Astyanax mexicanus: one gene and its partners. The main gene of each other region encodes a partner of the protein of the gene in region 2 in a complex. Links are inferred from orthologs where the notes say so. Each region holds a gene or a part of one and is shown on either strand. Other genes may lie near its edges. The genes, in order: sin3b, histone deacetylase 2 and mta1.

The links.
Region 1: the proteins of histone deacetylase 2 (region 2) and sin3b are in contact, whole or in part, in a cryo-EM structure (PDB 8BPB), measured with the Homo sapiens proteins. The link is inferred for Astyanax mexicanus from reciprocal best matches to the Homo sapiens genes HDAC2 and SIN3B. Residues at the interface, in NP_001518.3 of Homo sapiens: Lys9, Asp19, Gly21, Asn22, Tyr23, Tyr24, Gln27, Gly28, Pro30, Lys32, His34, Arg37, Tyr46, Gly47, Arg50, Lys51, Lys59, Thr66, Lys67, Tyr68, His69, Ser70, Asp71, Asp100, Asp105, Gly106, Glu109, His142, Lys144, Lys145; in NP_056075.1 of Homo sapiens: Ile397, Gly398, Ser399, Ser400, Tyr401, Pro411, Lys412, Cys413, Ser414, Gly415, Arg416, Thr417, Ile419, Cys420, Glu422, Val455, Leu456, Asn457, Trp460, Val461, Ser462, Phe463, Pro464, Ser465, Trp466, Ser467, Glu468, Asp469, Phe472, Lys476.
Region 3: histone deacetylase 2 (region 2) and mta1 share a complex: the UniProt entries of both Homo sapiens proteins name them as parts of the nucleosome remodeling and deacetylase (NuRD) repressor complex. The link is inferred for Astyanax mexicanus from reciprocal best matches to the Homo sapiens genes HDAC2 and MTA1.

Annotation. Positions count from the first base shown.
Region 1 is NC_064419.1:9,138,710-9,142,463, forward strand, and holds the start of sin3b (paired amphipathic helix protein Sin3b), read right to left. Parts: upstream 2,713-3,754; 5' UTR 2,289-2,712; coding exon 2,163-2,288; intron 1-2,162.
Region 2 is NC_064408.1:38,907,168-38,910,921, forward strand, and holds the start of histone deacetylase 2, read left to right. Parts: upstream 1-1,265; 5' UTR 1,266-1,408; coding exon 1,409-1,460; intron 1,461-3,754. Other genes in the region: heparan sulfate glucosamine 3-O-sulfotransferase 5, read left to right, coding at 1-75. UniProt on the Homo sapiens protein: Histone deacetylase that catalyzes the deacetylation of lysine residues on the N-terminal part of the core histones (H2A, H2B, H3 and H4).
Region 3 is NC_064421.1:24,341,244-24,344,997, reverse strand, and holds the start of mta1 (metastasis-associated protein MTA1), read left to right. Parts: upstream 1-795; 5' UTR 796-1,153; coding exon 1,154-1,181; intron 1,182-1,820; exon of another isoform or gene 1,821-2,022; intron 2,023-3,754. UniProt on the Homo sapiens protein: Transcriptional coregulator which can act as both a transcriptional corepressor and coactivator. Acts as a component of the histone deacetylase NuRD complex which participates in the remodeling of chromatin.

The DNA of each region.
Region 1 (3,754 bases), on a different chromosome or scaffold from region 2:
AGAATAAACATTATGCAGATATGGAGAAAAAGTGTTTACAATGTATTTAATGAAAAATACATTTAGGTCAGTGTTATCCTCGGTATACTTATTATAACATGTTTTAATACAATAAAAAATGTATTATGATTCAATAAGATAAATTGTCATATTAATCAGCTCTACACAGAAAAGTAAAAAGATATGGACAGAGAAACAGTAAATCTTTAATCATATTGATATTTCATGTGGTAAAACCCATCTGCCAGACAGCTGATATACAGCTCTGAGAAGAAAATAAGAGACAACATATAAATAACGAGTTTCTTTGATTTTACCAAATTGAAAACCTCTGGAATAAAATCAAGAGGAAGATCACAAGCAATCAAATCAAGTTGAATTACTTGAATTTTTGTACCAGGAGTGGCAAAAGATTATCCAAAATCAGTGTGTAAGACTGATGGAGAACGTGCCAAGATGCATGAAAATTGTGATTAAAAACCAGGGTTATTCCACCAAATATTGATTTCTGAACTCATAAAACTTTCAGAATATGAACTTGTTTTCTTTGCACAATTTGAGGTCTAAAAGGCTCTGCACCTTTTTTTTCAGCCATTTCTCATTATCTGCAAGTAAATGCTCTAAATAATAATATTTGTGGGAGAAATGTTGTCAATAGTTTGTAGAATAAAACAACAATGGTCATTTTACTCAAACATATACCTATAAGTAGCAAAATCAGAGAAACATATTCAGAAACTAAAGTGGTCTCCTATTTTTTCCAGAGCTCTATAGACATATAAAAAAGATCAAAACCATAAGGTGCTTGCTTTGTTTGTATGTGTGTATGTATGTATGTATGTATACGTTTGTTTACTTGTTTGCAGCAGCTACAGCATTTATGCCTAACCTAACCAAAATAAGGGTAAATTGACATTAGAGAATAATAATTCAGCTCACAGCTCAACACCCTGAAAATTATGATGGAAAACAATACCACCGGTTCTAGCACCAAAGAACCTTTCTTATACAAGACAGCTTTTTCAGTTCTCATGTTGAGTTGAAAAGTTAAATGCACCAAAATATGGTGTATTGTGTTTGTACAAGGTGCTTCAAGCTAGGTTCAAGTTTCTTGTTAATTTCCTTGCAGCAGCTTTTTTATATTAGCACCATATATAAACTGTGGCACAAAATAGTCCTAATTTTAACATATCTCGGTTAGTCTAAACTAACGTTAAACAAGAATAAATCAGCTCACAAATCAAACACCCTGAGAAATCTGATGGATATATCAGGAAAACAATACCACCAGTTCTGGCACTGAAGAACCTTCATACGAGATAAACCCTTTCAGCTTCTTCAGTTCTCAGGGTCTCCAGCAACTTTATAACTCAAGTGTCAATTAAAACAAATCGTTACAGTGAATTTTGCATTAAATTCAACAGAATTTGGTTTTATTGTGCTTTTAGCAAGGCGCATCCCCACAAAAGCACTGCAACTCAGCAAGTGGCTAACCGGCTAACTCAACTGAGAAGGATCTGGAAGCTCTTTTTAAATGAGATTAAACTGTATTTAAGTTAAAGTAAAGGTTTTTCGGAAAGTCTTTTGGGTTTATAAGTGCTGTTTTTTGTTTTGGAAGCTGCCAAAGCAAACAGCATTAGCTTTGGGAAAGTAAGACAAAGAGAGGCAAGCTAATAAGAGGTTGCTAACCTAGGTTAGCTTTGCTAGCTAGGTTCGTTAGCGATAGCTATGCTATGCTAACGTTACAGCACTTAGATTACCCAGCTAAAAACATATACTATAACGAGGGGGTCGTTTTATATGGTACGAAATATAGCTACATTTTTTAATAGCTATGTTCAAAACTGGTCAATAGATTATATGTGTATATTATATACGCCTTAAGCAAATACGAATAAAAAAAGAAAGAAAAAAATCTAAAAGAAGCTGAAGTTGCGAGTTTGTACGTTCCACCTTAAATGTTGCCGCAGTTTTATTCTGGCGCCCCCCGGACGCCAGAATGTAACTGCTACTACACTTAAGGTGGAACGGGAAAAATCGCACAAGAAACTGAAGAATGGGCAAGAACTTCAGAGAAAGAAATAACACAGCACTACTCAAAACTGGTCGCGCCACTTTATATCGACTTACACTTACTTTCATTTACCCCCGTTTTTCCTTACCTTTAGTTTCTGGAAGTGCTGCTGCTGTTGTTGCTGCTGCTGCTGTTTCTGGGCGCTCAAAAAGGCCTTGTCCTGGTTTATTGGGTTGATCTGCTTGGTGCTGCTGTGAGCCTGGATTTTCGCCATCGTCCCCAACAGCTACACACACGAAGACACACGTTCTCCCTCCGTATCTGCCCACAAAACAAGCAGGGCAGGGGAAAAAAACAAGCAGGGAAGGGAAGCGCTCCAGACAGCGGAGCGCCCACGCCGCTCAGACCGCGCAGAGTGCCTCCAACCCCGGCCAGCAGCGGCAGAGCGGACCGCTGTGCTCAAACTGAAGAGAGGAACCACTACAGCGTTTAAAGCACGGCTTTACTAACCAGAAAAGGTCCAGAGAAAGCGGGGGAGAGCTGAAGAACTAAAAAAGCATAGAAGAGAAAGACTACTCCCGGATTTTCAGTTTGTAAATGTTATTTTTAAAAACTGTCTCCTGTCTCTTTAAATTCGGCGGCAGCGGAGCGAATGTGGAAGAACGCACCGAGCATGCGCCTACACGGTGGGGCGGGGCTTACAGACGTGCGGGGCGGGCGGTACCCGGATGAGTGAAGGTGTCGTTTCAAATGCTAATGCTATCCTCTCAGAAGTGTCAATAAATATTAGTGATCAATACACACTACAAAACACCACAGACTAATCAATAAAGTGTTTATGGCTGATATAACAGTGATGTATGACGGTTTATTAGTGACTAATATAAGCATATACATTGTCTTTGTGTGAAAGTGGAAAGGGAAATGGGTGGTCAAAATGTAAAAAGTTAACTGTTGCCATACATGGTGTATTCAAGTAGTGTTATTATCAGAATACTGTGCATTTTGCCCTTCAAAAACGTCTTTTTTTACTATTAGAAAACCTCATACTACACAGAAATCATATTTTCCAGCTTAATCACTTTAATTTTAGGATTATTATCTGAATATTTGACCTTAAAACTTTTCAAAAAGTTACTTTACATTTTTTATTCTTTTAACTAGGAGGAATCTTGTAGTCACGTTAGGGGTGGGCGATATGGCCCAAAAATACTACGATCACAATATTTCATACTCTTGGCGATATGACAAAACACTAAATAAAAAAAGAATATTTCAAGAATACATTACTGCAACAAAATAAAAATTAAATTTTGTTATTGCATACAGTATGATATGGCACATCCCTAACTGAGATATTAAAAATTACAGAAATTTATCAGATTTGTAACAGAAGTCAATAATAATCCAGAATGTCATGATACTAATAATGCACTCCAAATATATCCATATATGCAGCATTAAAGTACAATAAATGATACTGGACAGATATAATCTGTCTCTAGTAGAAATATAATGGCAAATGAGAACAGTGTGAATTTGTCTTTTGCTAAAAACAGCAGTAAAAAAGTGATTATTAGGGGTGGGTGATATTGCACGATATTTCAGGGTATAATATCATTCATGATATTCAAAAATGTTGGCACTATTAATGCTTACAATACTATATGGCACAACCAACATATTCTGTGAAGCATTTAGGCTGCATTCTGAGGCTAGTAACATTGATGAAATTATCCT
Region 2 (3,754 bases):
AAGCTCAGGCGCTTCTACCGTCCATTCAACCAGAAATTTTACCAGATGACTGGGAGGAAATTTGACTGGCCGTGAGGAGGTCGAATGGCAGATCTTTTTAACCAGGGGGTGCTAAACTGCTGTCCTGCTTACAACTATAAGCAATTAAGATGAAACATAACTTTGTAACTTTGAAATATGTAGAGCTATTTTTTTACTAAATGCATTAATGTTTGCCTGTAAATAAGATTTTCGTCTTGCATATAAACAAACACAGTATATACAAAAGTAACACAGGTTAGTCTGCATTCTACACATGTTGAACCCCCCTGACTGTTAATAAGCTGAGCTGTGAGATCTAAAATGGGGATTTGATCAAATGTAAAGTTAATGTTGGTGATTGTTTAATGATGAAGTGTACTATACATGATGCCCTTCTTGTGTTCCTTAATAATTAATTCTGACTGAATTAATCACTATAATGCACCACTCTCATAATACAGTACAATTCAATCAGTCTCTGTTTTAATAGCTTGACGAGGTGGACAGCACATTGTATATAATGAAAAATAAATAATAAATATAAATAATAAATATAACATAAATGTAATAATCTGTCTATCCAACTATGTGTATAACTGTATGTACATCTATCTATATCTATCTATCTATCTAACTGTATGTACATCTATCTATCTATCTATCTATCTATCTATCTATCTATGCATAAATATTGTGTCTCTAATAATTAGTGTTATCTGGCTAATATATCAGATTCAACTGCGCCTTATCAGCAGTTTGGCTGGGTTGGATCAAGACTAGATCACTTTCTCACCATGATGCAAACCGCTCCAGAGCTTTTTTTGGGACTGAACTGAGACCAGATCCTCATAGTAGGTTTTATCTGCTTATTTGGATCCGTACAGGTGCGACTGCTGTTTTCACACCTGCTCAATCAAACCGCACTAAGAGTACAAACGAACCAGAGTCTGTTTTAACCTAACCAAATAGTGCTGGAGTGAAAACGCCCTCAATGACAAAGTATAATTTTTTTTGTGTCATTTGTTTAACTGGGTTCTCTTATCTACCTTTTATGACGATGTTTCAGGTCGCATTTATGCAGAAATATAGACAATTTCAAATTGTTCACTATTGTAACTTTCAAGCACCACTGTGTCTTCAAATATAGGCCAAACTAGCTAACAGCTAACTGTAGCCTATCAGAGTAACCCTGTAGCCTATCAGAGAGCGCTGGTGCTAAGCAGGCCCCGCCCTCGATTAGAATAGGCCCCGCCTCCTCCTTCTCCTCCGTCTCCGTGCTCCTCATCAGCTCTGTAGTTACCTGTCTCTCTCCACCGCTCCTGCTACATTTTAATCTGTATTTAATCTAATCAGCGCGCTCTGGTCGCGGGGATCGTGTGTGTGGAGCATGGCGTTCACTCTGCAGGGCACCAAGAAGAAAGTCTGCTATTATTATGACGGTAAGAGGGAACGGAGCGCTGCTCAGGCCTGCCCGCCAGAGAGAGAGTGATAGAGCGAGCGAGAGAGAGAGTGAGGGGGATAGAGAGAGGGATAGAGGGCCTGGGGGAAAGGAGTAACGTTAAATGGGTACAGGGACAGAAAGAATAAACAGAGACAGTAAATATAACCGGGTGTGAGAAATCCTGATTAAACCTCAGCTATTCTGAATGTGGGTTCTATTAGCACTAGTGCTAATGCTAACTGGCGCTGCGCTTTTGTGTCTCGTTGTGGGACTGCAGCTCTCTCTCTCTTTCCCTCCCTCCCACACACTCTATGTACCTGTTACACATACACATCACACACACACACTGTATTATTATTTATTTGCGAGGTTGCAGTTGGTATCGTATTGAACAGCCTTTTACTAATTTTCAGTTCCACCTTAAATTACGGTCAGTTAGCTAACTAACTAATGTTGTGGGCGACCGAGGCGACAGAGTGTTAAGTGGTGCACTATTTAAGGTGGACTGGAAAGATCCGAAGCCAACATGCGTGTAGTAACTACTAACGCTAGCTAACGAGGCTGAAGTTGGTTTGATATTCGCAGCTCCAGATTCGTTTGGCTCGATATTCGCAGCCTCGTATTCCCCGGCTGAAGTTGGTTTGATATTCGCAGCTGCCGCTTCACTGAACCACCGTGAACTAAAGGGAGCGTTCACAAACACCCGCTGTTTATATTAAACACCTCACAGATCAACACTGAAGGAGATAGAATGAAGAAAAGCAGTACATCTGTTTATTAACAATGTAAATATACAATATCGTATTAAATGTAATTTTGTATATTGTAAAATATTTATTTTAATTACTGAATTTATAATTATATATTACAATAAATAATTAAATATATATTTAATAAAATTATATTTTAAAAGCCATTGCGCTCAAAAAATATGAGGCAGATGTTCAAGTGTGATTTTGAAGAACTTTTTCATGTTGGGCCAGAACAAATACACATGATCTGAAGAGTACTAGTCTTCTTCTTTAAGGAAAACCTGGAATTAGCCTGGCCCGAGCTGATTTTATACTTTAAAATTAACTGGCAACGTGGCCTACCGATCCATAATGCACAAAAAAATTGAATATAAAGCTGATGTTCTAGTGTGATTTTGAAGGACTTTTTAATCTTGGGCCAGAACAAATACACATGATCTGAAGAGTACTAGTCTTCTTCTTTAAGGAAAACCTGGAATTAGCCTGGCCCGAGCTGATTTTAGACTGCACAATTAATTGGCAACATGGCAGCACAAAAAAAATATTATTTAAAGCTGATATTCCAGTATGATTTTGGACTTTTTTTTCAGACCAAATACACATCAGATGAAGTGTTCTGGTATTCTCAAAATCAATGCTTTATATTCATTATTTCTGTGCAAAATGGCTTTCATGTCATGTTGCCAATTCATTTTAAAGTATAAAATCAGCTCGGGCCAGGCTAATTCCAAGTTTTCCTTAAAGTAGAAGACTAGTTCTCTTCAGATCATGTGTATTTGTTCTGGCTCAAGATTAAAAAATTCTTCAAAATTGTACTGGAACAGTGGCTTTTTTGTGCAAAATGGCTCGTTATACCATGTTGCCAGTTCATTTTAAAGTATAAAATCAGCTCGGGACAGGCTAATTCCAGGTTTTTCTTAAAGTAGAAGACTAGTACTCTTCAGATCATGTGCATTTGTTCTGGCCCAAGATGAAAAAGTCCTTCAAAATCACACTAGAACATCAGCTTTACATAAAAACAATTGTGCATTATGGATCCGTATTCCATGTTGCCAGTTCATTTTAAAGTATAAAATCAGCTTGGGCCAGGCTAATTCCAGGTTTTCCTTAAGGTAGAAAACTAGTACTCTTCAGATCATGTTTATTTGGTCTGGCCCAAGATTAAAAAGTCCTTCAAAATCACACTAGAACATCAGCTTTATATTCAATTTTTTTGTGCATTATGGATCGGTAGGCCATGTTGCCAGTTAATTTTAAAGTATAAAATCAGCTCGGGCCAGGCTAATTCCAGGTTTTCCTTAAGGTAGAAGACTAGTTCTCTTCAGATCATGTGTATTTGTTCTGGCCCAAGATTAAAAAGTCCTTCAAAATCACACTAGAACATCAGCTTTATATTCAATTTTTTTGTGCATTATGGCTCGTTATACCATGTTGCCAGTTCATTTTAAAGTATAAAATCAGCTTGGGCCAGGCCAATTCCAGGTTTTCCTCAAAGTAGAAGACTAGTACTCTTCAGATCATGTGTATTTGTTCTGGCCCA
Region 3 (3,754 bases), on a different chromosome or scaffold from region 2:
CAGTGGTGGCGGCTGCCAAAAACGTCAACACGGTGGGCAAACATGTAGAGGTTGACACTAAAATCAATCTTCCTTGATTAACAACAACCATAAGAATGAGGAGAACATAACGACATAAGGGAGGACAGCAGGAGAGAGAGAGTAACCAGAATGTAACCAGACGTAAAAACCACAGAGTAACCAGAAATCACAAGGCGATGAAAAAAAAAATGTTAAAGAAGAGAAAAGAAAGTTCAGGAGGGGCAAGAACAGAAATTAGTAAGTAAGTAAATTATTATTTTTGCTAACTATGTTACTATCAAATGTTATGGACTTTGATATAAACTGTTATAAGATAACTAATAAAACATTAATGTTTCAAAATTATTAATGACTTTAAGATAAATAGCAATCCTGATAATAAACACCTTGTAAAAAAAATCAAACAAAGTCGTACACTCATAGTTGTTCTGACATTTGCTTCAAACGTGTGACAGACAGATATTTTGGGCTAGTTCAAGCTTCTGATTTTGGGCTGGATATTTTTGTTGGACCTGGCAACATTAGTGGCACTGTAACCGTTGGAACTGGAACTGTTCTGTAGAATACAGTCAGCTAGCGTTAACTAGGTTAGGTTTTCGTTTTTGTGTTGAAGAGAGAGAGGGATGGAGGGCTGTTAGGGAGATGGTGGGGTGTTGTAGGGCTCGGGAGGGAGAGCTGAGGGGGGGTTCCAATCTGAAAGCAACAGTTGTTTACTTTGTTATTTTGCCTCTAGTGGGTCTGAAGTTGTACAACAGCGATTGTTTCGGTATTTCCGAGGGAGGCGGAGACTGAGCTGGACGGTGATGCTCGCGGTCTCCACCTCCTCCGCCTCTCCTCCTCTCTCCTCCCTCGAGTCTCTCCTGACCGCCAGCCCGCTTTCTCCCTCCCTCCGGCCGCCCCGCTTTGTTTTCGCGCTCTTACCGAGTCCCTCAGCTGCTCTGTCCCGGCGCGAGTCTCCGAGTAGCGCGGTGAAGCAGAGTAGTGAAAATGGGCGCACTGTCTCTTTAAGATCCCCTGACTGCTCCGCTTCGTATTGATCAATCCACCATTTTCCAACACACTCAGCGGCGGAGGCAGTGCTCGCGACGGCGTGAGGAAGCCCTACCTGGAGCCACCAGGACGCGGGGCAGTCATGGCAGCCAACATGTACCGGGTCGGAGGTAGAGAGCACGTTTTCTGCCTGTCTGTGTCTCTGTGTTGGTGTATGTTTATCCCTCCCCTGAGCGGCGGCCTCGGGTATATACAGCGTTATAGAGCTAGTTACAGTTCAGAGCCCAGAGCTGGAGCAGCTCTCCGTGTCCTTCCTCTTTATTTCCTAAAGCTGGAGTAGAGAGAGCCTCATGCTCTGTGACCAAAGGAGGATGAAGATGATGATGAGGAGCGGGATAAAGATGAAGAGTCTAACTAACGCTAGCTGCTTTCAAACCCCCTCCAAAATGTGTCGTTTAGCTAACTTACTTTCTTAAAACTGGAGTATTCTAGCTTAGCTAACCTAAACATAGGTTAGTAACTTAGTATTTACAGTGAGTTTAGCTAGGTTTACTAGTTAATTAACGCCAACTAACTAACCTAGCTAGCAGCTCTGCAGTCCTATACCCCACCAGCAAACAGCCAAAGCTCATAATTCCCCCAGAACTGAAGCTTTTTACTTAAGTTTTCAAGTTTTTAAAGAAACCTCACATATCATGTAGCATGTTTAAAAAAAGCTGACTAGCTTAGCTCATAGCTTAGTTGCCAAGTAACGGGTGAGTTAACCAGCTAACTATCCAGACATACGTAACTTAGCTATGGGTTAGCTAGCTTAGCCTAATTACTTAACGTTAATACTAACGTTAATTACTTCTCAGCCACAAGAAGTAACGTTAGGGAACGTTTGGTTGAGCATGGAAGTAAAAAAAAAACTATCAGACAGTAGAAAAGCTACGAACTGGAGTACTTTACCGCTGTTAACCTGTTCCTGAACGAGGAGGTAAACAGAGAGAAGTGAGCCGTGGTGGAAACGTGAGTCCGTCCTTAATTAGTTAACTAACGCTGGTCAGGTTAAGTTAACCTAGCCTTCTTGTGTGAAGTAGTACGTTAGTTAAGTTACATATAATTATAAAATAAAAGTATTGAATAGTTCAATTTTTTCAATTGCTTTGAAGCAGGGGTGGGCGATAACAGTTAACGTTATATAACTAAAATAATATCACAATATTTCGGTGTATTTTTGCGATAAAGATATTCTTGGCGATATGACAAAACATTGATTTTTATTAAATAATAATTTTAGCAACATAGTTACTACTACAACAAAATAGATATTAAAGTTTTATTTAGTCTAAGCAAAAAATATATAAACAATTGTCTGATTCGTAAAACAGAGCCTGGTTTTGTAAAAGAAAAAAAAAAGGTGTAATAAAAGTAAAGTAATGGAACTAACACAAATATACCACAAAACTAAAGTGCAGCATATGTAGTGCATATAAACTGTAACCATTAAAATACTCGCTGTTTTAAATCCCGTTCATGCAGCTTGCCATCAGCTACAGGAGCCCTGAGAGAGCAGGGCTCTCCTTGCTCGCTCTGTGGGTAGATGGAGCTCTTTCCCCACATCACTCCAAAGGGTGATGTTGATCAGCACAATTGTCACAGATATTATTGTGAAAAATTATATATTGTCTTTATAGAAAACAACCATTGATATATTCAGCATATAATGGTACAATCATAAAATAACACCCTTTTAGAGAACCATACACTTTTAAAATGAATAATAGTCTAGGAGAGAAGTGTGTTTTCCAGCAATTCGCAAGTTTAAAAGTTTGCCCTATATGTTTTAGTCCTGTTTTTATTGAGTAAATACAGTGGTTGGTATCAAGAACAGCAGAACTTAATAAAGTCAAGAACATATAATTATGGTGACAGATGTAATGAATACCATAAGTAAATTCAGTGAAGACTTTTTAAAGCCTAGAATGATGTTGTGAGCAGAAGAAATTAAGTCAATTTCGAATCCCTCTGTAATATTTTGTAGCCATTTATTATACTAAATTACGTGTCAAAAACAAGTTGGTAGTTTTCTGAGAATGTAAACTTCCCAATTTAGCTTTTTTAAAGTTAAATTGGGATACAGTTTAGCAGTTGAGTAGTGGAACATGTCATCAGTTAAGACTGTCTTTTTCCACCTCAGTCTTGGGGGAGACCCCCTACCCTGCCAAATATGGCACGAGTCTTCCTCTTACAGTTCATTGTGGTCCGGTTTCTGTCTCTTGAAGTTTTTGATAGTGAGCTAGCTTTGTATGTGTTTTTTGTCATATGTAGTGAATTGGAGATGATGCTCAATTATACGTTATATAAAAACATTTTCACAGTACACAGTATTTATCATCTTTTGACATAAAAAAAAAATCAGTATCAGATTCTGCTGTTCAAATACTCTTTCATGAATGACGATGAATTTTATTGTATTTTTGCGGCGCATCATCTAATCTAACTGAATTTTCTTAAAGTATGTTGTCCATGCAATAAGAAAATTTATGACAATATGATAAAATTAATATAAATATTTATGTATAAAATGGGGACTAATTAAACAGTGTTTGGCTGTACAGAATTTTAGAAGGATATCTTTCTTTAAAAAGTAAATAAAGACTTATTCTTGGTTAAAATGTTTGCAGACTTGCTAGTCCAAATGAATTTTTTTCAAATAACTAAGTGAATCAGTTTGCTGCAGTAACAGCCTATACTCTTT